Xenopus tropicalis: one gene and its partners. The main gene of each other region encodes a partner of the protein of the gene in region 4 in a complex. Links are inferred from orthologs where the notes say so. Each region holds a gene or a part of one and is shown on either strand. Other genes may lie near its edges. The genes, in order: ppih, cript, lsm7, snrpd3, snrpg, lsm3 and armc7.

Region 1 (4,201 bases), on a different chromosome or scaffold from region 4:
GAACGATCCGATACTATCGTTAAGTTATCGTATAGTTGATGGTGTGCGAACGATCGTCGGCCCACTAATCGACCCGACATTATTGTCCCCAAAATCGATCGGCCAGGTTTAAAAATTTTAGTCGTTTAATGATAAAATCTGCCAGTTGGTGTGAGTGTCAGACATTTGTCTTCGAACGATTGTTCTCTGCGCATGTCATGATTGCCAGCAGCGGAAGTCAACGAACATAAATAAATAAATACCGCTTCCGCCACGACATTGGATCGTACGTAGATGTACGATTGTAAAAATTGCAAATTATCGTTGCCTGTGGATGGCATATCGTATGGAAACCCGGTCGCCATACGATCGTTTGTCGATATAATAGTTCGTCGCACAACGAGTGAAATCGCCTTGTGTATGGGGACCTTAACATCAGAACAGTTATCTGTTTTCCTTCTCAATGTATACTCACTCAGCTGTATGGTTGTAAGAGCTGACCAGTAGGCGGCGCTGTTTATAAGCAGATTAAAAGCTTTAAAAAATAATTGATGTAAAATGCAAATGTGACTAGAAGAGGACACTGACAAATTTATATTAACTTTTTAGGTTTTAGATATACTTTATTCCCCAGTCAATTTATTTGTTAGGGCCCAGGTTTCATACCCATATCAGTTTCTTGGGAAACCTGATTTCCCTGTACTTTGAATTTATGGAATAGTTTTGAAGGCCAAACAGCAACAAAGCTGCCAGTGGAGAGGGAGATTTTATGGGAAGTGATATACAAACAATAAAACCTCCCTTCTCCTCACAGAATACAGAGGGGATTTGGTGTGTTCCCTATGTGCAGCAGCCACAGGTAACCATAATTCTACCTACTGCATAAATACACACATACACCCACACAGAAGCAGAGCTCTGTTATAAACGCACTCTCGCCCACACAGCATCACGGCTGTGATCAGGCCACATTGAAATAGGAACTAAAAAAAAAGACGTTTCCGGTGTGGAGCGCTGAGGCGCTTGTATTAGCACTGCTTGATGTGAGAGCAAGGCAGACAGCATGGATATTTACAGATATGGATAGCTTCAACAGAAATAAATTTAATTGCACGGAACATGTGAATGCTACAACTCCACTCCATCCAAAACTAAACCTCTGTACTGCTTATATGTCAATGAGTAAATCAGGTTTAGTCACGCGTAAACGTACTGCTATTGCCACTCTCCCATAATCCCCTGCAAGGTTAGAAGCGCAGGCATATCGCATCGCCCACCAACTTCATGCGAATAAAGCGTGTAAAACAATGCACTGCGCCTGCGCATACAGCCTACAAGCAAGCCGCTTCTGGGATTGAAGCGCCGCCTCTTCTCTTCCGGTTTTGCCCCAGATAGAAATGGCGGTACCGGCTTCCAACGCTAACAATCCCATCGTATTCTTCGATATCAGTATCGGGGGGCAGGTAACACGCGGTGTTAAGTATAATACATTGAGAAAGCCCTGCATTAAATGATGATTCCATACTTACGTACTGAGAAGAATCTCGCCATGCAACACCACCTACAAACTGCAGCTGAGCAAATGGGGCTGCATGGTGTAGTGTAGTATTAGCAAGAAGGCTAAGTGTGTACTGTGACTGAAGGACAGATTTTTATATTCATAGCAGAAATTATTATGTATTTAAATTGTATTCCACGTGTATGGGCCCCACTGTTCTTTCCGATCTCTAAACCCTAAAACTTTACTGATGGTCCTAAACATGCACTCTAAGCCCTGAGAAAATCCCTAAATATGAACTCTAAAATTCTCATGGCATCCCAATTCATGAACCCTGCCCCCAAGGAAGACTGGGCGTGAACCCCAAAAGAGAGCCCAAAACAAAACTTGTAAAGCCACCAGACGGCTGATCAAACCAATTAGGGGAAAAAAGATCATCTTGGAAAGCTCTGAATATTATCCTTAGAATGTATGGAAAAAAGTCAACATGGAAACTAGACATTTTGGAAAATGTGTCAACATGAGGGCTAATTTGTCCATTCCGTGTCTTTGAAAAAGTTGTTCTTTCAAGCAAACTGTTGCTATACCTATTTATTCTGCATTTATTTAAATTAAAGTTATACAGAATATTAAAAACATTGGGTGGCCTAATTTTGTAAGCTTTTAAAGTTTTGTAATTGCTATATTTTATGCTATTCAACTTCAAATTAGTTTGCTTGTGTGTAACTGTGAAGAAAGGCATATATTCTGGGAAAACATGAAGGGTATGATGACTGTAATACCAATGTGCTAATTGTCTTTTCACAAAAAAAACTAATTTAATGTCCATTTACTTTTTCAGGAGGTGGGCCGGATGAAGGTGGAACTTTTTGCAGATATTGTACCAAAAACTGCAGAGAACTTCAGGTGAAGTTGCATGACTTTTGCTGTCAAAACTCTGGAGTAGTTATATAGCAACACTGACAAAGTTTGCAACTGCCCATAACCCAAAGCAACCAATCAGATGTTTGCTGTCATTATTTTAGTCTCACTAGATCAGTAAGACTAAGGGCTCTGGCACACGGGGAGATTAGTCGCCCGCGGCAAAACTCCCTGTTCGCGGGCGACTAATCTCCCCGAGTTGCCTTCCCCTGCCATCCCACCGGCGAACATGTAAGTCGCCGGCGGGATGGCAGATGCGGCGGCGCGATTTCGCGCAAATCGCTGAAAAAGACTTGCGAGTCTTTTTCGGCGATTTGCCGAAATCGCCTCGCCGCGTCTGCCATCCCACCGCCGGCTTACATTGTCGCCGATGGGATGGCAGGGGAAGGCAACTCGGGGAGATTAGTCGCCCGCGAACAGGGAGTTTTGCCGCGGGCGACTCATCTCCCCATGTGCCAGCTATCTGTCGAGCCTACAAAATAGACAGTACTGATAGGATTGTTTTGCCTTCAATAGGGATTAATTATATCTTAGTTAGAATCAAGTGCAAGGTGCTGTTTTATTATTACAGAGAAAAGGGAAATCACTTTATATCATTTGATTTACTTGATTATAATGGAGTTTATAGAAGATGGCTTTCCCTGTAATTCTGATTTTTCTGGATAATGGACTTCTAAATAATGGTTCCTATACCTGTATTATATCTAGCAAACAGTTTTTAAATAGCTTAAAGCTTTACAATTATACTAATAATATATTATCCACATAGAGTTCCTTTCTGTTTTGTTTCTCTCATCACAACTAAGTTCTTTAATATACAGCCCTCTGCATCTAAAAGAATTTGACAGCACTACTTTACACCCCTTGTTTCTTTTTTTCAAACCATCCAAAGGTCCCTTCCCACAGGCATTAATATTCTCACCAGCAATTTACATCAATGCTGGTTGTAAGGAAACTTTGGGCATTTGTCACCTGCACTGAAGGAGATTTAGTTTTAGTGTTTAGAAGTAAAAGTAAATGGAGGATAAAGTAAATTCATGAATTTCCCATTTCTGATGCTTAAAGCTGATGCCAGAATCAACCCATGTGGCATCAGTCTAAGGGGCTATTTCTGATATCAAAAAGAAGTTGTTGTAGACTAATGCATTATGTGCTATGCAGGAATGCATTGTTGTGCAAACAGATTACGTTAGGTAAAGTATCTGCTAATTGTAAATAATTCTTTATTTCTCATTTCAGGCAATTCTGTACTGGCGAATTTAGGTTTGTATCTGTACTTCTTTTGCCCCGATCGGGGGTTTGATCTAAGTAATGGGAGTAGACTGGAATAAATGTTGAAGCACAATTGTTTCCACAAATCCTCATAGTTAAGTTCTAAGAAACTGGCTTCAGTGCTTCTCTGTTTTCATTCATTGTGTAGCAAATTCTGCAAGAAGCTAAACTGTCCATTGGCTGCTTGGTGGGGGATTATGAATATAATAGCAACAATACTTTTTCTGTAGATCAACTAATACTCAAAATAGTACATTGAAATTAAACGTAATAAGCAATATGGCAGCTTTCCTGACAGGAAAGACAATAACTGTTTTAAAATATTAAATAGTGCACCGCAGATATTTTTAGCACCTGTGCTGTAATACTGACATCTGCTTTAAGGGTAGTAGAATATTTACTGCAGATTGCATTTGCAAATTAGTTCTGAGTTTATTTATACCCTCCATTGACGTTCAGGGCTGAATCATCGGATATAGAGGTAGAAACAATAGCAATTCTACCCCTATCTGATGGTTCAGCCCTTAATGC
Region 2 (4,172 bases), on a different chromosome or scaffold from region 4:
GATATTTGAAAGTGAGTTACAATAGGCAAAAAGTATGTTCACAGCAAACCCTATACACTGAACTCAAGTTGAAAAGGAGACACTGTGTGATTAGTACTCACCTTGCAGTCTTTGATGTCAGTGCCTTGTTCTCATTTAGTTTTCTGCCTCCACTTTCTGTGTAAAGAGAGAGAAAAATCAATAACCAGAAGAATACTGTAATAATCCTTTCCCACAGAAGCCAAATGTGTTTGTTTAATTAAATAAATTAGAAATATAAGCCTCCCATCAAGTCCCCCATTTGAAACATTGTACATAATACTATAGAGAGGTTACCAGCTCCAGGACTTAGGGGCCATAGGCAAACAAATGAAATATTTTGGATTTTTTCTTTTACTTGAGCAAACATTAATTCTGACAGGGACTGTTGTGCCAAAACAAGACAAAAAAATACTGCCTATTAAAATAAACAAACAGTGGCATATTCACTAAAGAAGGCTTACGTGTGAATGGAACAATTCATCAAAAAATGAAAGTCCGCCACCCCAGTTGAAAATAAGCCTTAACCAGGTAGACCAAACAGAGCAGTTTTAGGGGTCCCTGGTGGTGCAGTTCTGGAGGAGGGAGGGAAGACTCTGGAAGTGGCCATGGCTTCAAACAGCCTCCTTTGGGTAAGCCAGTCACTGAATAAACTAAACCGACTGTTTTTCAAGCAAAAAAGTGTATTTTATACCATATTTATTTAGAAAAAAATAGCTTATCATCAATTTACAATAGGCAATAAAAATATCAGTTAATGCTTTTAATTGCATTACTCTGCTAATATTAGCTAGATACATGCAGCGATAACATTTCAGGTAAAGAGATTGTTAAAAAATGGCTAAAGATAATAACTGGTGGCACTTCATGGAGGCATTAAAGGAGAAGAAGTCATTTTGGCATTTAACTGCCAATAGGTTTGCCACATTAGTGCCACCTAGAACACTATATTTATTCTGCAGAAAGCATTGCCATACTTGAGTAAAGAGCCCTAGAAGCTTTCTCTTTTTAAGATTGCAGCTGCCATTTTAGCTTGGTCTCCATAGCTTCCTGTTTGCAGTCTAGCGTTATAGCTCAGATTACACATTCCTAAGGGAGGGGGGAGTGAGTCTTATGAATTCTTATGGGAGGGGGGAGCAGGAGAGAGGAGAGAGCTGCACTGACTCTGGTCACAGGAATGAAGGATTTTTCTGAGAGAGAAAGTCAGATACCCTAAGAACATGTTTACAAAAAAGTAGACAAGAAATCCTGTGTTTCTTTTGACAGAGGACTCAGTGCAGCGTTTCTGTGAGTGCTTATGACTGTATTTACATAGACCTTTCTGATAAAGTTTACTTAGTTTTTACCTTTCCTTCTCCTTTAACCAATGAGTTTATTCATATAAGCCTTTAGTGTACAAATGTTTTGCTTGTGTACTTATTAAGGGAAGCTGCATAGGTGGCAGAGGCACACTTTGAAGCCTTTAATAACACAGCACAACAGGTTCAGCCCTTAAATGTCACCATATATTTTACAAAAAAAATAAATATTAAAGTCTGCCTTTATATAAACAATATCTGGCCTTTATAATAGGATCAAAGTTCTGCCTCTGAAAGACTGGGAAGAGCAAGAAGTGCTAGTGGATTGATACACAATAATGCAAATCCGATTAAATGGCACCACAACTTACCAGTGGTATTCCTGGCACCGGATTTCCATGTGTCTGGAGTGATAACTGTGCCCAGTTTCTTCTCACCTGTCATTAAATACACGTCATTAGTTAATGCTGCTCCTGCACACACATATCCCTATCTACGTCCTTAAAGGAATACTGTCATGGGAAAACACGTTTTTTTCAAAACCCATCAGTTAATAGAGCTTCTGCAGCAGAATCCTGCATTGTAATCTGTTTTTCAAATATACAAACAGATTTTTTTTATATTTAATTTTGAAATTTCACATGGGGCTAGCCATATTCTTCATTTCCCAGGGTGCCACAGCCATGTAACCTGTGCTCTGATAAACTTCAATCACAATTTACTGCTGCGCTGCAAGTTGGAGTGATATCCCCCGCCCCCTCCCAGCAGCCGATCAGCAGAACAATGGGAAGGGAGCAAGATAGCAGCTCCCAGTAGGTATCAGAATAGCACTCAATAGTAAGAAATCCAAGTCCGGCTTGGGACTCCTCCAGTTACATGGGAGTAGGAGAAACAATAGGTTAGCTGAAAGCAGTTCTAATGTGTAGCGCTGGCTGAAAGCTCAGACTCAGGCACAAGGCACTGAGATGGCGCCTACACACCAATATTACAGCTACAAATACATTTGTTGGTTCAAGAATAACATTTTAAATGGCAGAGTGAATTATTTGCTATGTAAACAGTGTAATTTAGAAATAAAAAGTATACCACATAAGTCATGACATTATCCCTTTAAAAACAACAGTAATTACATTCTCCCATACAGGTATCCAAAAACGTCAATGAGATAATCAGAATATATAGTGACAATGAGCAATACAGTCAGGGAGAATAGTAATAGCCGGCAGCACAGTAAGTATATTACTACGTATTGCGAACAGCGGATAAACCAGAGCTACAGCTATGTCTGCTTTATTTATTACTAACAGTAGGCACCCCTAGCAACCAACCAGCCATTGGCTTTGCTCAGCCAGTTGCGCAGACGAATGTGAAGGATAATATAAACAGGACGCCATGGTTTACAGCTGCTCGGCAAATGTATCCAATGGCAGGTGTAAGCGTTACCCACATAACACGGCTCTATGGGAGCTGCCCGGTACCAGGAAATACACCCAGCGAGATTAAACCCGGTTTGTTACTTACACTTATCGCACACCATGTCCCACTCCGGTCACACCAACAATCACACGGCTCTTGTCAACAAAGTTCCTTAGGAACGTCACTTCCGGATCTCGTCACCACCAATGGAAACCGCTCCGGAACGTCAACGTCAGTTGGCGGAAGCCGCCGCCTGATTGGCTTATGTGACTGTCTATCAAACACAGCTTCTGCTCCTTTTCAGGTGAGGGAGGAGGAACCAGAACCAGAAGTGGTGCAGGGTCAATGAGCGCACAGGTGAGTATTGGGAGACACAGCGGGACTTCCCTTCTACCCTTATATATATATATATATATATATATAGCTCAGTCTGTGGGAGTTTTGGTGCTGTTGAGCTACAGCTGCTTCCTTCCATTGGTGTGTTTGCATAAGCTCCTAGGGGGAGTGATGGGAGTTGTAGTAAAGACAATTAGCAACATGGGGTGTTCAGCCTGAAGGCCAGTTAGGGGAGATTGCCCATTACATACACAGCCCAGCCTGAAGGGCCAGTTAGGGGAGATTGCCCATTCTGTGGCTACATACACAGCCCAGCCTGAAGGCCAGTTAGGGGAGATTGCCCATTCTGTGGCTACATACACAGGGCAGCCTGAAGGCCAGTTAGGGGAGATTGCCCATTCTGTGGCTACATACACAGGGCAGCCTGAAGGCCAGTTAGGGGAGATTGCCCATTCTGTGGCTACATACACAGGCCAGCCTGAAGGCCAGTTAGGGGAGATTGCCCATTCTGTGGCTACATACACAGCCCAGCCTGAAGGCCAGTTAGGGGAGATTGCCCATTCTGTGGCTACATACACAGGGCAGCCCAGCCTGAAGGCCAGTTAGGGGAGATTGCCCATTCTGTGGCTACATACACAGCCCAGCCTGAAGGCCAGTTAGGGGAGATTGCCCATTCTGTGGCTACATACACAGCCCAGCCTGAAGGCCAGTTAGGGGAGATTGCCCATTCTGTGGCTACATACACAGCCCAGCCTGAAGGCCAGTTAGGGGAGATTGCCCATTCTGTGGCTACATACACAGGGCAGCCCAGCCTGAAGGCCAGTCAGGGGAGATTGCCCATTCTGTGGCTACATACACAGCCCAGCCTGAAGGCCAGTTAGGGGAGATTGCCCATTCTGTGGCTACATACACAGCCCAGCCTGAAGGCCAGTTAGGGGAGATTGCCCATTCTGTGGCTACATACACAGCCCAGCCTGAAGGCCAGTTAGGGGAGATTGCCCATTCTGTGGCTACATACACAGGGCAGCCCAGCCTGCAGGCCAGTTAGGGGAGATTGCCCATTCTGTGGCTACATACACAGCCCAGCCTGAAGGCCAGTTAGGG
Region 3 (4,181 bases), about 60 Mb from region 4:
ATAAAACAATGCTGATCATTTACTGAGAACTGTCTCTATGTGTGTTTTAGCAGAGGCAGTTCTCAGTATTGTCTATGGCAGGGTATTTTCTGGTGTTTAGTAGCTGTGACAAGTAGATGCAACTAAGTAGCTTTGTGTGTTTGCACCCTTTATGATTGCTTGAGCTGAAAGGCTTGAGCAATCATAAAAAATGCCCCTACAATTATTAAAAGAGGTGGAATAAATTTGTTGACCTACACAATATATGCGAGTGGTTTGAGCCCCATATATTGAACCCCTGCTCACGTACTGAAGATTTTTCATAAAAGGGGTTAAAAAGGTTATAACATACAGGGCTAGCAAAAAAACATTGCAATAAACAAAAGCACTCTAAAACAAATGGCACAGTGACTGTTGCAAAAAATGAATTGCCAGGTAAGCGGTGCAAAACTATCCGCTGGAGATTCACCACTTTGTAGAACTTCATCTGAAGTCTTCATGGTTGCTCACATAAAAAATAATAGAAATACACACAGAAAAGGTTCCAATGAAATAATCAGTATATTTGAAATATATGGAATACGCTGGCTCTGCTAAAATAGCATCTCTCTGCCTTTAAAAAAAAAAAAAAAAAAAATGTTCTATATAAAATAAACAAAACAAATTCAGTACTCCACAATCTTCAACTTGAAGTTATTCTTTCTAACAAAGAAATATGGGAGAAGAAATTTAATATTGTTCATTAACCCTCTTGTTGTTGAACAAAAGGGTTTGGGATTGCCTCCATGCCATCCTGTGGACAAATCAGCACTACAGATGTTCCTCTGCAGACTACCAGCCCCAGCTGCCGTGTGTCCTCTGTTAATTTATACTGGTCATCTGGATCTAAAGAGAAAAAGACATGTTTTAATAGAACAAGTGACAATTCACAAAAGTTCTAAAAACTTCAACTTAAACCATTTCTAAAACATACAAGGTACAGCAAATTAACAAGCCGAAAATGTAAAATAAACGTTATATACTTTAACCATAATGGCTTTCTGAACAGGTACAGAGGGTGGCTGTTAATGGTACATTCTCTACTTGGAGTAAGGTTCTTAGTGTGGTCCCACAGGGTTCTGTGTTGGGTCCACTATTATTTAACTTGTTCATTAATGACTTAGGAGAAGGTATTATAAGTGATGTATCAGTGTTTGCAGATGACACAAAATTCTGCAGCCCAATTAATTCTATCCAGGATCCTTGCAGCAGGATTGTGACAAACTGGGGGGCTCAGTGGCAGAGAGATTCAATGTTGATAAATTCAAAGTCCTGCACCTGGGATGCAAAAATATGCATTAATTGAATTGCACTACACAAATCCATAATGGAAAAGGACCTTTAAGTCCTTGTAGGTAATAACTTGGCTGTGGCAAGCAAGGGCAAACAAGGTTTTGAGCTGTATTAAAAGGGACATAGAATTGTGAGAGGAAGGGGTTATTCTTCTGCTTTACAAAGCGCTGGTAAGGCCCTAATAGAAGTTTTGGTCTCCATTGCTCAAATGGGACATTATTATGTTAGAGAGGACCCAGAGAAGGGCAACGTAGCTGGTAAAGGATATGGATAGACGTAGTTATGAAGACTAGCCAGGTTGGGATGGTTTACCCTGGAAAATAGGCACTTCAGGGGTCATATAATCTCTCGAACGTTTTATTCACCAGTAGGTTCTTCCAACTAACACAAGGGCACCCATTCCAATTAGAAAAAAGTAGGTTCCGTCTAGATACTCTGAAAGGGTTTTTTTTGTTCTTTAACCGAGAGCTGTGAAGTTGTGTAATTCACTCCCTGAATTAGTCGCACTGACTGAGAGATAGCTTCAAGAAGGGGTTGGTTGGCATTTTAGCAAGTAAGGGAATACAATGGTCTGATTGCCTTCTTGGAACCAGGAAGGATTTTTTCCCCCTCCGCAGCAAATGAAAAGCTTCAAAAGGTTTATTTTGCTTTCCTCTGGATCAACTAGCAGTTAGGCAGGTTACATATAGGCATATAAAGTTAAACTTGATGGACTGGTGTCTTTTTAACCTAATTTACTATATTAAATACTACAGGTATTGGATCTATTATACCTTAAGTCTGCCAAAAAAAATTGAAACACAAAATAAACAAAATAGGATTGTTTTGCCACTTGAAGCCTTTAATTATTCGACAAGAAATCCCTTACCTGTTCCAATTATAAAGACTGAATTATGCAGTAACAGAACACCCACAATCCATAGATGGAAGGAGTGGTGGGGTAAAATTTAAAAAAATAATTGGAAAGGTCAAGTTTAGGCTATGATTTAAATGGAAAACCATACCCACAAAATAAATACTTAAACAGTTTATATCAGTTAGGGCATATTCTAGTTTAGCAAGATTCTTTAATAGGTCACTTTTACCTTGAGCCACAATTTTGTGATGGGCTGTGGGCTCCCATAGAGATTACATGAACAGAAATAATGCAGCTCTATCTGAAACATGAAGAAGTCACAGTTCTGTCCATTGATTGGCTAATGTAACCTAGTATGCACGTGTGCTTTGGTATGTGTGCAACATGAATCCTATGATCCCAAGAGGCGGCCCTTCATTTTTAAAATGGCAGGTTTCATGCAACATATTTTAGAGAGACCTACGGTGTTTTGCAGAATAGATTTCCTTTAATATGCATATTTTGACATATTGTTTCATGTCAGCACATTTTAAATTAAAAGACTAAACTAGAAAGGGAAGTTTGAGAACAAACTTCATGTTGGGTTGAAAAACATGAAGTCACTGAATGGGCTCTGCCCACTTTCTCTAACCTTGGATCACAGTTATACAATAAAAACCACTGTGCAAAGTTTGGGGACCCTGGCTTAATAGTGTCTGAATGGCAGCAACTTAAATTTCCCCACTGAAAGTCAACGAGTGACATCTGATTGGCGGTTGGTGGCTCCACCCCCTTTTTCTAACCTGGAACTGCAGCTACCCAGTGACTAACTCTGCAAAGTTTAGTTTAGGATTAATAGTTAAAGAACGGCAGCAGTTAAAGTTTAAACCAATAAAAGTCAATAGGTGAATTGTGATTGGTGGTTGGTGACCCCGCCCCCTTTTTCTAACCTTGAGTCGAAGTCACTCAGTGACAAAGAGTGGGCACTGTGGCATAAATAGTGTGAGAATGACAGCATTTTAAATTTAAACCAATAAAACTCAAAGGATGAAATCTGATTGGCCGTTAGTGGCCCAACCCACTTTTCCTATTTTTAAACTGCAGTCCCCCAGTGACCAACTTTGCAAATTTTGGGGACTCTGGCATAAAAATTGTGAGACTGACAGCATTTTACACTTCACAGTTGAAAGTAAATAGGTGAAATGTTATTGGCTGTTGGTGGCTCCGCCCACTTTTTTTCTGAACAGCAAGGTTGAATTTCCACCAAGTCAATAGGTAAAATCTGATTGGCTGTTCACAGCTCCGCCCACTTTTGGGCATTCAGCAATCATTGGGGTGTTCGGAGGGGCGCCACAAAAAGACGGGGGGCGGGAACGCATAAAAAAAGCACAAGCAACCTGCTCTGCTATAGGGCGAAGAAGTGTGGAGAGTTTGGTTGTTGTACCCCTAAAACTGTAAGAGGAGTAGCGTTTAGAAAATGGGGGGCGCTAAAAAGAAGAAGAAGTGGAAGAATAAGCCAAAGTCGAAGAACAGTATGTTGGGGTTTTCAACCCAACACAATTATTCCATGTGCCGCCTCCAGTCAAATAGCAAAACAATGCATACAAATTTGAAGTGCATCCTATGTATATGAAAGCTTTATGAATTTTTAGTACTTACCTCTCATATATTCTATTGTGCCATCCAGTACAAGATTCAGCAGTGGATCAAATCCTTTCAGTACTCCGCTTGCTTTAATCAGGTGAAGAATAAAAACAAGGGGAAAAAAGTATTTAAAAAGAGAAGCCCAAATAGTTCTGCACCCCAAGCTTATGTAAATGTTTTCAGCTTTGCCTATATCCGTTAAAATGGAAGATGATTCTCAGGAAAATGTCATTTTAGCTGGTGTATTACAGGGCGAGATTTAACATCTTGTATGGTTGAAACCTACTAAAGACTTTACAGATATTGCAAAAGTAGTTTATGAATTCCAAAAAGATGCTTTTCAAACTGCTTCCACAGTCTTACACTAGAATGAACTCAGTTATGTCAGCCT
Region 4 (4,147 bases):
TACAGACATCACCCTGTTAACCCTGCCCCTACACAAATAAAACTTACCTTGGGCCTTGAGAATAGCTGCTTTTCCTCTGCCGGCACCAGAACCCTGGTTTTTATTCTTCATACTCTTTAACATGGGAGCATTTTTCAACATGTCTGGGAGGATGAGAAAACGAATTTTGCTGCCTCTGATGTAGACCTGTTCTAGTTGTGCCACTCTGCCATCCCTGTACGTTACAGTGATGTTTGACATCTGAAAGTCAAAGTACAATTTAAGCATCCATGGAGGGAAGAAAAAAGGACACAGGCTTAACATACAGCACTATGTGAGGAATTCTATTACAATGTTTTATATTTATAAAGCTTTAACGGGATCGTGTTTGACTTCACACTCATGTCTCCCCCTTGTTTAGCTCAAAGAATAGCCAAAACCATGTTCTTTTCCTGGGAGACAGCACCAAGAACATTCATACACAGTAGAAGAATGTTTAGAAGACCAGTCTTTGCAGTTTTAAATTTCCTTTAATGTATATCCAAGTTGCGTAGAATTAAATTTTTTCATTACAAAAACAGTTTTTGGCTGGAGGACCCTTTTAATTAAAATAGCCAAAAACAACCTATTTATTGTACAAGGTAATATACAGCTGCGTTAAAATGCTTTAGAAACACTGCTATAGTCTATACCAGTAATGCCCAACCAGTGGCTCCCAGTGGACTTTAAGCAGGTGCTTATTTTTTGTAATTTCTGGTAAGGAGGCAAGTTTCTGTTGCATAAAAACCAGCTGTATTGCCAGCACAATCCTGTAGGCTTCCAGTCCCCATAAGGGCTACCAAATAGCCAATAACAGCCCTTATTTGGCAACCCAAAAGAATTTTTTATGCTTCATTTGCTCCCAAACTCTTTTTACATTTAAATGTGGCTCACAGGTACAAAAGGTTGGGAAACCCTGGTCTATAGAAATAAAGCTGCATGGGGGCAGCTATTCAAACAAAGAGGGCTGAATGGCACAGGTGACAAAAAGATAAGCTCTGTAAAATACAATACAGCTTATGTAACCAGCACCTTTAGGGCTCTGGCACACGGGGGAGATTAGTCGCCCGCGATTAACTCCCTGTTCGCGGGCGACTAATCTCCCCGAGTTGCCTACCCCTGCCATCCCACCGGCGAACATGTAAGTCGCCGGCGGGATGGCAGACGTGGCGGCGCGATTTCGCGCAAATCGCCGAAAAAGACTCGCAAGTCTTTTTCGGTGATTTCCGGAAATCGCCCCGCCGCGTCTGCCATCCCGCCGGCGACTTACATGTTCGCCGGTGGGATGGCAGGGGTAGGCAACTCGGGGAGATTAGTCGCCCGCGAACAGGGAGTTAATCGCGGGCGACTAATCTCCCCCGTGTGCCAGAGCCCTTACTCAGTTTATCCCAGCTTGGATGGCTGCCCCCACTGATACACAGCAGCTTATTTATATGAACTATAGTAGTATCAGTGGGGGCAGCCATCCAAGCTGCTGTGTGTTACTGAAGCAAACACCAGTTCTACCAGTGCAGGGTAACACTACATCGTATTTTGATTACTTTGAAACACTTACATAGTTTAAAAGAATAGGAACACCAAAATATGTTACCGTTTGGCTTCTGTGGGTAGATAAAGGAGACTTTTCTCCATGTTAAAAGAGAAGTTTATACATGAACAACAGAAGAGTGCTTAGTAAAAAGAGCAAAAGGAAATTGTCACCCTAAATATTTTTTAAATTACACAACAGGAATGCAATACGGGTGTAGCCACACCCCACTAACTAGGCTCCTGTAACTAACAGTTTAAAAGTGCATAGCAACAACAGCATTTACATATTTTACTTCTGCTCCTTATCACTGAGCTTTACTGTGAATATACTGACATCTAGAGACACAGCTAGGAAATTGAAATAGATTAGGATTAAAGGAGACATTGTATAAAAATTAAGAATGTACCAGTAAATTATACTCCTCTAGATATAGAAGGACTGTGGTTTAAAAAAAATTGTTTTTTGGACTGTTTTATTGAGAAATTCCACCAAAACCCTAATAGTCCCGCCCATCTGTTCCACTTCCTGCTGGCTGGATAGGAACCAATCAGCAGCTAGGATGACCTGATAGGGAACTGAAGCCTGTCTCTGCTTGTGTGAGTGCTGGGCTGTGATTGCCTTCCCCCCTCCTACTGTGCTTCTGGCAGGGACCGTTAGGACACGCCCACCCTTCATTTTAAACAGGGACAGAGAACTGATAGGATCTACAGGGAGCTCCAATAAAGAGGCCATATTTACAGATGAGTATTTTTTAGCCCAAATGAAACCCGCAGCATATATTGTTCATAATTGTCTACAAAATTAGGTTTTTTTTTCCCCTATTTTTCCATGTCTCCTTTAAGCTATTTACGCTTCTGACCACAATATAACTGCTTCTTTTGCAATGGATAGGGTAACCGAGGCACTATATAGGGAATAAATAGGTGCCTTTTGGAAAATACTTTGCCCCTAACAATTCACACACACATTTTTAGTTTAACACAGCCTTTACAATTGTTGGTCCATAAGGTCTATCACTAGAGTTTATACTGCAATCACCAACGTACTTACAAACATGGCATAAGGTAAATATTTATAAGTTTAGGTGCACTTGCTATAGATATAATACGAATGACTTGCTTATTTTACTTACTTGGCAGTTCATGTTATCCTCTGCTTCAATCAATTTCCCCCTGTATACCTCTCCGGTGTTAGTTTCACATGTCACAATGTGGCCTTCTGCCTCATGAAGGACTTTAATTGGTACACCGATAGACATATTGAGAGCTAATGGAGATTAACCTGCAATTGGAGAAATAAAAATTAGCAAAAAAACGTGGAGAACATACAAAGCGCAACGCAGGTTACTGCATACAATGCAGCCATGTGCAAACTATAAGGTATATTCAAATAAAAATCCTTATTACATAATGTTTATCCAGCCTAAAGCTTTAATCACTTACAGTCTATAAATTCAGCCATACATATGCACACAAACATGCCCAGCCCTTCAGAAACACATGCACGTTAGGACATCGCAGCAGCACAACCCGCAGAAGCAGAGGAGTAACCCTCAATGAATGAGTTCCCTGGGATACTGGCACTGAGGCCTACACAAACGTTTCAGTGCCCCCGGCCTAAGGCAGGAATATTTATAGAAACGGATAACGGACTGGTAACACAGTGAGATGCGTTGGGCCCGGCACCCTGTATATAACCTCACCATAAGGCAATATTTAGAGGGAAGCCCTGCTCACACTCATACAAAGCTGCCAACCGCACAGACCTAAGGGAAAGCGAACAAGCGCCGAGTAACCGAGACGCACACCCCGCCCAGATATCCGCACGCTGCAACCCCCGGGCCTCTCTGACAATCCTGCAAAGCGCAGACTTTTTACCGAACTTTTGTTTGCTTTGGGTAATACTTACTAGCGTGGCTCTGTTCTGCGTTCTAATGGCGTCCCGCCTGCCCCACAATGCACAGCGAAAGGAAACAGGCTGTCGTATCTCTCTGCCCCCTTTTCCCGGCGACTGCACAAGCAAACAACTTCCGGTGGGAAACAGATATGAGTGACTTAGTTCCGCTCATCAACCCATTTATCTATTCACACCATTTAAGAGCGGCTAGTTGCACTGCAACTTTTCATATTATATATTATGAATTATTATTAAATATCTTGAGCTGAAACCTCCAATTAGACTCAGACGTGCAATCTGTGGATTGTGATAAATGCCAGAAGGGCTGCTGTAAGATGTCACAGACACTATTTATTGGGGTGATAGGGGGCTATTTGGGTATCCGCGTATAATTAAATGCCAAGGCCCCATTTCCAGTCCGCACCTGATCAGACTGTTTCTTTTAGTCTGCGCTTTTAATAGGTGCTGATTCTGACTTTATTAACTGAATTGGCAGACCGCTGGCATATGTATGGGCCCAGAATGATCAGGCTTATTTTGTTTATATATCTGCTGAATGCATTGTTTCTGAACTGCCAGAAAGCACATGCAACATTAAGTAAAATGGACAAAATGGCATCTGTGCACAAAAATGTACCCCTGCTCACTGCTGTAAAATGTAGATTCACCCCCCATTCTACCATGAATGTATGTATGTGCACA
Region 5 (4,082 bases), on a different chromosome or scaffold from region 4:
GATGTATGTAGCCATGCACTGTGCATATAATAAAACAATGAACTCATCCTACCCAGAAAACATGGGCTAGATCCCTCTCTTTAAACTGGCCATCTTTAAAGTACTAAAGCTGCTCAGCCGATTAGTCATTATTTAATCTGAACTTCACAGAAGCCAATACACTTTGCAATATTAGCTGCTAATAATCTGACCATATTCCACTAAATGCAGCCATACATGCTCAGATTTTGTAGTCTCACGACTGATTTCAGGACAAACTGTATAGCTGGTAGTGTACAAACAATTCTAGATGTAAGAATTTACTAATTGGCCCAACATTCTTAAAAATATCAGTTGGGCAACGATAAGAGTTGGTGTGAAAGTTGTCGTTGAACAGTCGCTTTCTGTGCATATATTGGCAGTACCTGCAGAAGTCAACGAACGCATATGACAAGACCCAAATGTTTGTTGCCAACCCTACATTTTAACCACATAAACACTATGAAAAGTCATGTGCATGCTGTTGGTAAATATAAATACAGGCAAAAGAATACCTTGCTGCAATACCAGCAAGCCAAGGCAACCAGCCACATTACAAACAAGCAGAACTCATTCGTTCACTTGTTGTAATAGCAAATAGCATACCAATATCGATAAAAATTGATGAAAAATACATCACTTCCTGTTTATACTGCTTCCGCCACAAGCTGATATAGCATTGTAGATGCACAATATTACTTTACCTTTTGGCAACAAAATGACGACATCTTTAACGTGCTACTTCTCTGTGGATAACATTGTATGATTAAATGCCATTTGTAAATGTAATTGCTATTGAAAGCAGCATTTGCCGAACTCCTGGTGGTTACTTTTTAAACAATGTTGCAAAAGTCAGTCTCCTTCCCCAAGTCAGGTCTGTCAGTTGGCTGCCTTGTGTTACATTGTTTCAAATGCCAGAGCCACCAGGGCAGAGAATAGAAAAGGACAGACAAACACTGCTTCTAATAGCAATTATATATACAAATAACTCAAAAACCATTACAAATTTGTAATAAATGTATATTGCAAAGCTGAGAATTCTGTTTTCTTTTATTAGGCAAAAAATTATATTTTGCGTTGCGTTGTCCTCAAATGTTAGTTTAAAAATTGGAAAATCTGACCATGAACGGCCACCCTAAATTACACACACAGTAAGGGACCATACAATATATGTTGCAGCTCAGTCTAACACTTACCACCATTCCAATGGTGTTTTGGTGGCCACCCCCTGATATCTCTGTGCACTCATCTATTACAAGGTTCATGAAGGGATCAAAGCCACGCAGAATCCCCTGGACATGTCTCCCACCATTTAACTTCACTGAAAGAAAGAAAAGAAAGGAAATTTGATCAGATGCTTCAAGGTTTTGGTGGTTTACTGGTTTGGGGAGTCACCTGGTACAGTTCCCTTATAACTGCATATATTTATATAGAGTGAGGAACAGCAGTCCTGTATCCTGAATAAATCCTTCATTGCACCATCTCTCTGCTGCTTCTTATTCTAAATAACACTGTTATTTGGCCAAGCACCTGAATAAGGTCCGAGCACAGACCTCATCATATATATTTTTATTTTTTAAAAGAAAACTATACCCCCAGAACGAATACTTAACCAACAGATAGTTTATATTTTGTTAAGTGGCCTATTAAAGAATATTGTCAAACTGGAATATATATTAGTAAATATTGCCCTTTTACATCCTTTCCCTTGAGCCACCATTTAGTGATGGGCTGTGTGCTCCCTCAGAGATCAGCTGACAGGAAATAATGCAGCTCTGACTGTAACAGGGAGTAGTGTGGGAGCAAAAGGCAGAACTCTGCCCATTCATTGGCTGATGGGGCCTAACATGTATGTGTGTCTTGGCTTGTTTGTGTGCACTGTGAATCCTATGATCCCAGGGGGTGGCCCTTAATTCATAAAATGGCAATTTCCTATTTAGTACCACCCGATAGCACATACTACTAAAAAAATAATATTTTTAAGAAAATGGTTTATTTAGATTAATTTAGTTTTACATATGAGCTTGTTTATGAAACATTTTTATAGAGACCTACATTGTTTGGGGGGTATAGTTTTCCTTTATTTTTTTTTCTTTTTACAAGTAGATGGAAAATTTTTCAATACTTACAAGACAGTTTCTTGTCCATGAACCTAAAAGTAAAAAGTACACAACATTTAAATACATTATATTATAATAATAACTCAACAAGACCTAATCACCTGTGCTCAGATCACTAGACTAGGGACCCAAGAGAAGCCAATGCAGTTCCCTTATAGGGTTAGTATCAGGCATAAGAGCTACTTCACTCTTCCCAGAGATCCATGTGCACATTATGAAATACTAGAATCCTTAATGAATCCTATGACTGCGACTGATGTAGTTGGCCAGCTTGGAGTATATTGCAATATATGGGCAATCAATCAGTTTGACCACAAAATATAATTGGAAGATATGTGGGAATCGAAAAGATCCCCATTTCTTTCTGTGTGAATGATGTGGTTGCAGCCTCCATGCTCCAAAACGGGCCATTCAACATGAAACAGCGCAATGGAGGCTGCAGGTTTGGGTGTATGTTCCCCGGCTACAGCCTAAGCCGCCCCTCCGCTCTGCCCCTCACTTGCCCTCCGCTCTGCCCCTCACTGCCCCCTCCGCTCTGCCCCTCACTTGCCCCCTCCGCTCTGCCCCTCACTTGCCCCCTCCGCTCTGCCCCTCACTTGCCCCCTCCGCTCTGCCCCTCACTGCCCCCCCCCGGGCCGTTCCTTACTTCTTCAGCTCGGGCGGGTGCGCTTTGCTCATTTTCGTTCCTCGTGTACAAAGCCCCGGTCGCTGCCGCCAAGTAACGCAGTCGCCTTAATGTGACGTAAGCACGTCTTACGTGTATGCGCTTCCCCGCCCACCCCCACGGTCGCTATGACGACCACCAAAGAATACAAAGGAGACGCGTTAGCCGGCTTTAGTTGGGCTAAATATAACATTGTGTATCAAATATTAAAGTATATAAGAAATATTGCAAATTTGATTACATATATACGTTTTCCCTGATTGGTTATAGAAGAATTTAACAAAAACTTGGGGCTATGGAAGCTAGTCGGTCAGCTTAGATGTCTGCCGCAAAACAACGTAGATGCCGTAGAGTTAGAGTAAGGGCAAGCCGTAACCGGAAGGGTATGTGTAAGGGCGGAAGAGAGGTGCGTTGCCCTTGGAGCACACGCTTGTCAGACATGGCAGAGGAACAGCAGAACCGGCTTCAAAATGCGATAGACACTATGGTGAAGAGCTTGGAAAGGGACAACATTAGGAAAATGCAGGTACCATAGTCTGGTGTAATTAGTCTTATGTCATAGGGCGTTACAGCCCATCTTCCATTACTTCTTTTATTATACTCTGCTGCCATTCAAAGTCCCCCTGGGGTAGCACTCCCATGCACTTGAATGGAAGGGGCACAAATGCCTGGGGGTCCAATAGGAATTGGTCATTTTTAATGTACAGGACTAATGGCTGTGGGATGCCTTATATACCAGGTTTTACTTGTCCTTTAATATAACATACTAGTTTTCCTGCTACATTTGCTTAGCACAGGGACTTATCTTTCTGTTCAGGTTTCTGTTCCTTACCATTAAACCGCAAGTACTGTTGCTGCAAACTTCATCAGAAATGGGTAGGGCAAAAAGAAACTGGGGCAAAAAGAAACTGGGGCAAAAAGAAACTGGGGGAAAAAGAAACTGGGGGAAAAAGAAACTGGGGCAAAAAGAAACTGGGGGAAAAAGAAACTGGGGCAAAAAGTTCAAATGAGTAAAACTTATGTTTGAAAGCCACAGTGTGGCCCAAGCCTCTTAGCAAAGGAAATCTATACCCCAGACAATGTAGGTCTCTATAAAAATATATTGCATAAACAGCTCAGATGTAAAACCCTGCATCTTCTAAATAAATTGCATGAAAATATACTTCTTTTAGTAGCACGTGCTATTGGGTAATCCTACATAGAAAATTGCCATTTTATATATTAAGGGCCTCCTGCTATTGTAGCACACAAACACACCAAGGGCATGCACTGAATCCGGG
Region 6 (4,133 bases), on a different chromosome or scaffold from region 4:
ATGTCTGCTTAATAAGTTATTCTGTGTGTTTGAGCGGTAGTTTCTTTTTAGTATGATTCAATTTATAGTTTTCAGTTTAAACCTAGTCCTGTGTTTCTGCCTCTATCTTAAAACTGTTTTTGCTGGATACATAAGAGTTGCCTGTATATTGTTTAACCCCTTAGCTGCAAAGTAATAATCATCTGCTTTTACCACAAATTCTGGTCCCCTTTCTTTTGCAGATGGTGCCGTGATATATTAGCCTCCTTATAATTATGATATTATAAAAAGTACTTTCAAGGAAATGTAAACCCAAGAAAACAGTCTCAAAACTGCCCAGCACTCTATTCAGAGCACTTTTGCAGTTGACTTTTTTCCCCCCCATGTCTTTCGAAGGTTTACATTTCCTTTAAACGAGTAATGGCACTTCTGATTCTATATTCCAGTGAATAAGTTGCAAATATTTAGCAATAGCAGTCTTTTAAGCCACACAATCAAGTGTCAGTGCTTGCAGGGGTACAGAGTATTTGCATGAGTTTAGTAACTCAGCATCCACAGGACCTTTGGGGGGGGGGGGGGGGGGAAGTGTGAAGGGCAGCAGGTCCTCAGGCAACTAAACTCAAGCTTGCTTGATCATTTGTCAATATATGAGAAGACTTGTCATATCTTTGTTGTGCTGGCTCCAAGAACATATATTAGCCAATGCCCGTCTGTTCCATTGTTTACTTTTGCACTTAACCTAGCCCATCAAAATAAAGACTTGTGCAGGGAATGTTAATCTAATGATTGTGATCTGTTCCTCTCATCCACTGACTGATTTAATGACAAAAACGGTCAAGCCCATCTGATCAAATGTTGGGACAATGCAGTTGAAATGATCGTATATTTTACAATCGTTTCCCCCTGAATGTAACAATAAGTTAATAATAAAGCAAATTTTATTGGTTCACTGTAAAGGTGGCCTTACACGCTAAGATCCACTCGCTTTGCGAAGTCACCAAGCAAGCGGATCTTCTCCCAATATCCCCATCTATGGGTGGGCAATATCAGGCTAATTCGGTCGTTTGGCCCCAGGGTCAAATGTCCGAATTAGGACGACGGCCATAGGCGTCTGTCTGTTTGGGGACTGCATTAACGAGCCAATGCAGTCCCCGATCAGACTGATTTTTAAACCTGCCTGATCGAGATCTGCCCGATGTCAGTTGGGCAGGCCTGTCGTTAATGCCCATACACGGCCAATAAGCTGCCGAATTGGTCTAAGGGACTGATATCGGCAGCTAGAATCAGCCCATGTATGGCCACCTTAAAACTGGTTGTTTCACATGACAAAATCTGCTTGTGTATGGGCACCTTTATTGTTTTGAGCAGTCAGATTTGATCTACAGTTACCAAATAGCATTTCTTTTCTCCCCTGCATGGGATTGTAAGGTCTGTGGGGCAGGGACCTCCTTCCTCTTGTCTAGGACACTTAGCACTATACCTTTAATGTAACTGTACTATTTGTATTTTAATTATAAATAAAGCCCAGAGTGTAGTTTCACTAGTGTGAAGTACAATACTCTTGTATTTGTGTCTTGTTGTTTTTTTATTATTATTTTTGACACTGGCTAACACGGTACTACAGTTTTTGTTTTGTAACCTGAGCTATTAAAACCTTACAGTTTTCATTTTTTGTCTTGTTTGAACTTTAGATTTAAGGAATGCTTGTGGTGTCTTTAATAAAAAGCCAAAATGACAGACTTAGGTTATAGATTTAGACCCGCTTGGGCAGCCAATAGGGTAGTGAACCAGCTGCCTAGCCAGTAGTTATTTAGTTTGCTCCCAAAAACATGCACCACCTCCATACAGCTTTCAAACTGCTGAGCTTTGGCAGTGATGAAATGTATGTTGTGTTCTTCCAATCAACATGGATTGACACATTAGTAAATTAGGAGACATGTTGGATAAATGGGAAAACCCCTCATTTTGTAGGCAATTATGAATAATATCCGGTGCTGGTTTCATTTTGGGCTAAACATTAACCCTATCTGTAACAATGGCCCCTTTATTGGAGCTCCCTATAGATCCTCTCAGGTCCCTGTCTGTGTTTCAAATGAGGGGTGGGCGTGTCCTAACGGTCCCTGCTAGAAGAACAGTAGGAGGGGGAGAGCCAATCACAGCCCTGCACTCACAAAAGCACAGACAGGCTTCAGTTCCCTATCAGGTCAGCCTAGCTGCTGATTGGTTCCTATCTTAGAGTGCCCCGGCTCCCCTGCACATCCAGAGAATTCAGCCAGCAGGAAGTGGAACAGATGGGCGGGGCTAGTGGGGTTTGGGGGGATTCTCAAATCAGTCCGAAACAACTTTTTTTTTTTTTAAGCACAATCCTATATCTAGGAGTATAATTCACTAGTATATTCTTAAATTTTATAGGATGTGTCCCTAAAAAACAGGAGTCAAGAGTCAATTGGGAGATAAACTCAGAAATCTGAGGTATAGAAACTAAAACAAGCCTTGTGCTTCTATTGTTTGAATATATTGACGCCATCAGCCACACAGAACATACATTTCATTTTACTCCTGACCACAACAACTGGGTTTTTAATCAGATTTACATCGCTAGTTATGAATATAAACACACTCCACCGGTGCTTCACGATTAAAAAAAAAAAAAGGCTTTGAAATAAAAGAGAAAACAGTCCAGTTTGAATAAACATTCACTTAATTCCCCGCAACATAAAAAAACCCTATACGCGTTCCCAAGCGAGACCGGGCCAGGAGCACCCCTTATGCCGCACTGCGCCGAGAACCGAACAGAACCTGTTTTCCAGTCTTATAAACCCACATCCCTACCTGCTCTCCGTCGTCCGCCATCTTCAAAACCCCGCGCAAAGGAAATAGCCGAGAACCCTGACAATTCTCCTATCGCGATATTTATGTGCCACAGGAAGAATGTGAAGCTCGGCCAATAGCGTGAGAGTATGGGCAGTAAGTGGCGGAGGCCTGGATGTGACGCTTGGCCAATAGCGTGAGAGTATGGGCAGTAAGTGACGGAGGCCGGAATGTGTAGCTCAGCCAATAGTGTGAGAGTATGGGCAGTAAGAGGCGGAGGCCTGGATGTGAAGCTCGGCCAATAGCGTAAGAGTATGGGCAGTAAGTGGCGGAGGCCTGGATGTGACGCTTGGCCAATAGCGTGAGAGTATGGGCAGTAAGTGACGGAGGCCGGAATGTGTAGCTCAGCCAATAGTGTGAGAGTATGGGCAGTAAGAGGCGGAGGCCTGGATGTGAAGCTCGGCCAATAGCGTAAGAGTATGGGCAGTAAGTGACGGAGGCCGGAATGTGAAGCTCAGCCAATAATGTGAGAGTATGGGCAGTAAGTGTCGGAGGCCGGAATGTGAAGCTCAGCCAATAATGTGAGAGTATGGGCAGTAAGTGGCGGAGGCCTGGCAGCGGGGTGCACATGTGTATGTTCCGGAAGTGACGCGTTAATGTTATTGTCTGAGACAGATTGTTTCCTGTTGTGTGGGTTATACAACCAGAGGGGACATGTGAGGTAGAATTGTGGGGAGATGGCAAAGCGGAGGGGGTCTGAGGGTGCTGCGGTAGCGGGGAACAAGCAGAGAAACCGCCCGGCAATAGACTCCCTGCATGGTGGTGAGTTTCTATGGGGTCTGCATGTCTATAGAGATTTTCATTCATCTTGTGAATGATATACAGTAACACGTAAAATGAAATCTAAACACAGACTTAATTCACAGACTTAAATAGACTTAATTCTTATAGGTACTGTATGGGGACACTGTGCAGAGTTTCTAAATAGGCTGGGAATAATACTGTAGTGAGTGCAGATTGAACCCTATGGGCATCAGCCCTGTACTATTCACTATACTGGTTTTAAGATTCTTCTATGATTGCTAAGGTAACCCCTAGAAACCAGATAAATTAAATACAAACCTTGACAACATAATTCAGAGACCAGATGAAATAAAAAATAAAGACCAGTTGCAGATTGTGTTAGTATTATGCCATCTGGACAATATTAAAAGATAGGCAGAGTTAGCCCTTGAATTGTGCATGGGCTTTTATTTCTGTGCTAAATGATTAACTACCAATGCTTTGGGCTCTGGTGGAACATTACAGGTCGTTTGCACTTAGCTCTTCATCCTTCCTATTTA
Region 7 (4,236 bases), on a different chromosome or scaffold from region 4:
GAGGGCCCACTGACCCCTGGGCCCACCGGGAGTTTTCCTGGTATCCTGGTGGGCCAGTCCGACTCTGTTTGTGTGCACTGTGAATCCCAGGGGGATAAAAGTGAGTTATAAAATACCCTATATTTAGCATCTGTGCCACTGGTCTTTTTTTTTACTTATTTTTAAATTATTTGCTGCCTTTTTCTGCCTCTCTATGCTTTCAGGCAGTCAGCCAGCCAAAAAACTATTGCTCTGAGAGGCTATTGTTATTCAGTACCATATCTCACGTGGTTGCTAGTTTAAATATGACCCTAGCAACCAGATAGTTGCAGAAATACCAAACTAGAGACGTGTTAACATCCCAATTCCTTATGCACATGATTTATAGCCATTTTACCCCTATATACATGTGTGGCGATATAAAGAGTAGAAGGCCATTGCATATTTATATTTGGGCTGCTTTTTACCCCCAGTCTGGCCCTGCAGCTTGGTGTTTCCATTTAACGTTCAATTTTCAGTGCGGCTTGGGCAGCATGCCACCCTAAGGGCTCTGGCACACGGGGAGATTAGTCGCCCGCGGCAAAACTCCCTGTTCGTGGGCAACTAATCTCCCCGAGTTGCCTTCCCCTGCCATCCCACCGGCGAACATGTAAGTCGCGGGTGGGATGGCACACGCGGCGGCGCGATTTCACGCAAATCGCCGAAGTTGCCTTGCGAGGCTTTTTCAGCGATTTGCGCTAAATCGCGCTGCCGCGTGTGCCATCCCACCGGCCACTTACATTTTCGCCAGTGGGATGGCAGGGGAAGGCAACTCGGGGAGATTAGTTGCCCACGAACAGGGAGTTTTGTCGCGGGTGACTAATCTCCCCGTGTGCCAGAGCCCTTAATCTGTTCCGCCCCGGGCCTGGGCCTTTGTTGCCTGGGTGTCACGTGTTTTCTATTGAAACGAGTGTCTGGAGGGGCGGGGTCAGACGGTATTGCGCCAATACGGCCCGTGGGCCATAGTTGTAAGAATTGTGTGAGCAGCAGATAAGTACCACAGTCTTCATTTTTTTATCCTCTGAGGTTTTTGCCACTTTAGCACTTCTACACTTTCCAATTTCCTGCTACCAAGTTGCCAACCTGAAGAGTGAGTAGGAGAGGGTCTGAAGAGAAAAATACATCATAAATATATAAATCTCAATACAAAAGTATACTCATAGCATGACATTTTGTTTATTTCTATTGTTCCCACCCTCACACTTACCCGGGTAATTCTGCCCCTAACGCTACAGTTCCGCCTCAGCGCTTTGCGCCTCCCTCACGCTTCCCGCCCGGAAGTAGGACGAGAACTGGCACCCGACTTGAGGCTTCTGCCAGTACGGTGACATCACTTCCGCCCACCCGGAAGCGCAGGTACTGCGGGCTGATAGAGAGCGGGGATGGGTGACGGGGAGTCGGAGCGGTTTCAGTACCTGCAGACGTTGGTCACTGAGTTCCAGGACACGGACAGTGTCGGTAAGGGAGAGAGAGGGGGAGATTTAACCCCATTCAGTTTCGTTACGGTTGTAGTTTTGTACCAACTCTCCGCATCATTTCCTCTTCTCATTAGTTTCTCCCCTTAATTGCTCAGAAGCCAAAGAGCAGGTCCTGGCCAATCTGGCCAACTTCGCCTACGATCCCCGGAACTTTTCCGACCTGCGGAAGCTACAGGTGCTGGACCTGTTCCTGGATATGCTGACTGAGGGCAATGAGAACCTGGTGGAGTTTGGCCTGGGTGAGAGAATGTACTGAAGTGCTGAGCCCACAATGTGCCCCCATGTGTGGCAGGAGGGTCACAATATAATGCAATATAATCTCAGCTCCCACCAGCATCCTCCCCCCAGCATCCTCCCACCAGCATCCTCCAGCTCCCCCCAGCATCCTCCTCAGCATCCTCCCACCAGCTCCCCCCAGCATCCTATCCCAGCATCCTCCCACCAGCTCCCCCCCAGCATCCTTCAACTCCCCCCAGCATCTTCCTCAACATCCTCCCACCAGCATCCTCCAGCTCCCCCCAGCGTCCTTGCCAGCATCCTCCAAGCTCAGGGGACACATTGACTTGATGGAGGCCCTGAGTGTAACGCTGGCCCGAAATCACAGGCCTCTCAGCTCCCCCCAGCATCTTCCCACCAGCATCCTCCAGCTCCCCCCAGCATCCTATCCCAGCATCCTCCTCAGCATCCTCCCACCAGCTCCCCTCCAGCATCCTTCCCAGCATCCTCCAGCTCCCCCAGCGTCCTTCCCAGCATCCTGCTCAACATCCTCCCACCAGCTCCCCCCCAGCATCCTTCAGCTCCCCTCAGCATCCTTCAACTCCCCCCAGCATCTTCCTCAACATCCTCCCACCAGCATCCTCCAGCTCCCCCCAGTGTCCTTCCCAGCATCCTCCTCAACATCCTCCCACCAGCTCCCCCCCAGCATTCTTCAACTCCCACCAGCATCTTCCTCAACATCCTCCCACCAGCATCCTCCAGCTCCCCCCAGCGTCCCTACCCAGCATCCTCCCACCAGCTCCCCCCAAGCATCCTCCCACCAGCCCCCCTCCAGCATCCTCCCACCAGCTCCCCCCCAGCATCCTTCTCAGCATCCTCCTAAACATCCTCCCCCCCCCCCCAGCGACCTACAGCGACCAATCAGGAGTCAGCGGACCGGATTAAAAAGGCCAATGGGCCAGACATGGCTTGCAGGCCGTAGTTTGCCCACCCCTGATATAATGACTCCGCCCCAATCTCCAGTTGATGGACAGTATAGTGAAAGTGGCTATAGGTGGGCAGTGGGTAGATGCTTAAATTTTCTGCTTGATGACAGTGGGACGGACCATTGAAAAAAAGCCAGTGTCAGACTGGGGGCCCCTCACTGAGGGTGGAGGGCCGATGTTGCTGGCAGGGATCAGGCCTGGGTTGGTGGGGCCCACTGGGATTTTTCTCATTGTCCCAGTCTGTCCCTGGGAAAAGCCCAATATGCAACCTGGCACTGGAGGGGGGGGTGGCAGAATCAGTAGGTTTTATCAGCCCATCTATGGCCACCGTGTACCACCCCCCCCAACCCCTCGCCTGTCATTGGTCTCTGACAAACACGGCTCTGGTATATTTATCGTTTTCACTACAAACTTCTGTGCGATCCTTTTATACCCAGATAAACATCCTGTGTTGCGAATATAAACATTGGGTGCAGTGAAAGCCCAGTTATCTTGTATTAACCACTTCCAGCAGGACGGAAGGATATTGTAGGTTTGGGCAATATGTTTTTTTCCATCTTTCCTATGGGATCCCCCCCCCCCCTAAAAAACATGTCCTCAATTTCAATTGTGATCAAACCCCCTGTAGGTCATAATGTCTTTGAAATTGTTAGTTTGCCTTTAACCATTCTCTCTTTTCCAATAGGGGGTCTCTGTAATCTCTGCCTGGACAAGACTAACAAGAGTCACATACTAGACTCCGGGGGGCTGAAATTGGTCATCAATTGCCTGTCCAGCCGTCGGGAAGAGACGGTGCTTTCGGCGCTGACCACACTCATGTTCCTGTGCACGGCCGCCTCCCGCACTGAAGTGACGGCTCCTGCTGTGGTGGAGTGCATGGTGCGCTTCTCCCTTTCCACCAACCGCAGGATCAGCAATTTGGCCACCATCTTCCTGCAGGATTACTGCAGCGATAAGCAAGTGCAAGAAGCCAAAGAACTGAGCCAACATTCGGCATTGGGAATCCCGCTCCCTGAATCCACGCAGCACCCCATCTGACTCCCGTGTCGGACATTTGCACCCTACTAGAAACAGATGCAGCATGGCTGTTCTCGGAGTGTGACAAACTCTGTGTTTGAAGTGCTGGTCACTTTCATGATCATGAAACAAGTTTGGGAGACAAGTGCAAGCCTTGCCGGACTGCAGTCCCCTGCAAGATACTGTTCCGTGATTCAGTTATGGACTGACCCCATGGTCCCTCGTGTATTTATTTCTACTGTATTAAAATCATTAAAGAGGAAAAGCACTCGGTGCTGCTATCTACACTGCTATCCACTCTTCGTGAGTGGCCAATGGTTGGCGAGATTGTACAGTTGTGTTTCTTAGCTCTCCCCAGCAAAGCTTCATGGGTTATTCAGGGTCCATGAAAGGGGTGGGGGAACCTTATGGTAGGGGGTGACACTTGGGTGGATCATGGGGAGAGTTTTAATATAATTGCAGTGGATTAGGGATGTGGCTATGCATGTGAGGGGATTCATTTTACCTGTTTACAAGGCCTG

Evidence for each region.
Region 1: snrpd3 (region 4) and ppih share a complex: the UniProt entries of both Homo sapiens proteins name them as parts of the U4/U6-U5 tri-snRNP complex. The link is inferred for Xenopus tropicalis from reciprocal best matches to the Homo sapiens genes SNRPD3 and PPIH.
Region 2: snrpd3 (region 4) and cript share a complex: the UniProt entries of both Homo sapiens proteins name them as parts of the minor spliceosome. The link is inferred for Xenopus tropicalis from reciprocal best matches to the Homo sapiens genes SNRPD3 and CRIPT.
Region 3: snrpd3 (region 4) and lsm7 share a complex: the UniProt entries of both Homo sapiens proteins name them as parts of the U4/U6-U5 tri-snRNP complex. The link is inferred for Xenopus tropicalis from reciprocal best matches to the Homo sapiens genes SNRPD3 and LSM7.
Region 5: snrpd3 (region 4) and snrpg share a complex: the UniProt entries of both Homo sapiens proteins name them as parts of the U7 snRNP complex. The link is inferred for Xenopus tropicalis from reciprocal best matches to the Homo sapiens genes SNRPD3 and SNRPG.
Region 6: snrpd3 (region 4) and lsm3 share a complex: the UniProt entries of both Homo sapiens proteins name them as parts of the U4/U6-U5 tri-snRNP complex. The link is inferred for Xenopus tropicalis from reciprocal best matches to the Homo sapiens genes SNRPD3 and LSM3.
Region 7: snrpd3 (region 4) and armc7 share a complex: the UniProt entries of both Homo sapiens proteins name them as parts of the minor spliceosome. The link is inferred for Xenopus tropicalis from reciprocal best matches to the Homo sapiens genes SNRPD3 and ARMC7.

What each region holds. Positions count from the first base shown.
Region 1 is NC_030683.2:94,758,844-94,763,044, reverse strand, and holds the start of ppih (peptidyl-prolyl cis-trans isomerase H), read left to right. Parts: upstream 1-1,373; 5' UTR 1,374-1,376; coding exon 1,377-1,442; intron 1,443-2,318; coding exon 2,319-2,383; intron 2,384-3,637; coding exon 3,638-3,661; intron 3,662-4,201. UniProt on the Homo sapiens protein: PPIase that catalyzes the cis-trans isomerization of proline imidic peptide bonds in oligopeptides and may therefore assist protein folding. Participates in pre-mRNA splicing.
Region 2 is NC_030681.2:19,972,121-19,976,292, reverse strand, and holds the start of cript (cysteine-rich PDZ-binding protein), read right to left. Parts: upstream 2,856-4,172; 5' UTR 2,854-2,855; coding exon 2,838-2,853; intron 1,754-2,837; coding exon 1,688-1,753; intron 157-1,687; coding exon 102-156; intron 1-101. UniProt on the Homo sapiens protein: As a component of the minor spliceosome, involved in the splicing of U12-type introns in pre-mRNAs. Involved in the cytoskeletal anchoring of DLG4 in excitatory synapses.
Region 3 is NC_030677.2:92,738,208-92,742,388, forward strand, and holds the end of lsm7 (U6 snRNA-associated Sm-like protein LSm7), read right to left. Parts: intron 3,878-4,181; coding exon 3,806-3,877; intron 865-3,805; coding exon 722-864; 3' UTR 522-721; downstream 1-521. UniProt on the Homo sapiens protein: Plays a role in pre-mRNA splicing as component of the U4/U6-U5 tri-snRNP complex that is involved in spliceosome assembly, and as component of the precatalytic spliceosome (spliceosome B complex).
Region 4 is NC_030677.2:152,605,337-152,609,483, reverse strand, and holds the start of snrpd3 (small nuclear ribonucleoprotein Sm D3), read right to left. Parts: upstream 2,831-4,147; 5' UTR 2,808-2,830; coding exon 2,682-2,807; intron 241-2,681; coding exon 48-240; intron 1-47. UniProt on the Homo sapiens protein: Plays a role in pre-mRNA splicing as a core component of the spliceosomal U1, U2, U4 and U5 small nuclear ribonucleoproteins (snRNPs), the building blocks of the spliceosome.
Region 5 is NC_030679.2:122,085,852-122,089,933, forward strand, and holds the start of snrpg (small nuclear ribonucleoprotein G), read right to left. Parts: upstream 2,844-4,082; 5' UTR 2,817-2,843; coding exon 2,785-2,816; intron 2,171-2,784; coding exon 2,148-2,170; intron 1,340-2,147; coding exon 1,215-1,339; intron 1-1,214. Other genes in the region: protein FAM136A, read left to right, coding at 3,242-3,328. UniProt on the Homo sapiens protein: Plays a role in pre-mRNA splicing as a core component of the spliceosomal U1, U2, U4 and U5 small nuclear ribonucleoproteins (snRNPs), the building blocks of the spliceosome.
Region 6 is NC_030680.2:132,918,315-132,922,447, forward strand, and holds the start of lsm3 (U6 snRNA-associated Sm-like protein LSm3), read right to left. Parts: upstream 2,846-4,133; 5' UTR 2,833-2,845; coding exon 2,812-2,832; intron 1-2,811. Other genes in the region: xpc (DNA repair protein complementing XP-C cells), read left to right, coding at 3,528-3,612. UniProt on the Homo sapiens protein: Plays a role in pre-mRNA splicing as component of the U4/U6-U5 tri-snRNP complex that is involved in spliceosome assembly, and as component of the precatalytic spliceosome (spliceosome B complex).
Region 7 is NC_030686.2:44,366,233-44,370,468, forward strand, and holds the start of armc7 (armadillo repeat-containing protein 7), read left to right. Parts: upstream 1-1,328; 5' UTR 1,329-1,400; coding exon 1,401-1,476; intron 1,477-1,480; exon of another isoform or gene 1,481-1,570; coding exon 1,571-1,735; intron 1,736-3,383; coding exon 3,384-3,736; 3' UTR 3,737-4,236. UniProt on the Homo sapiens protein: As a component of the minor spliceosome, involved in the splicing of U12-type introns in pre-mRNAs.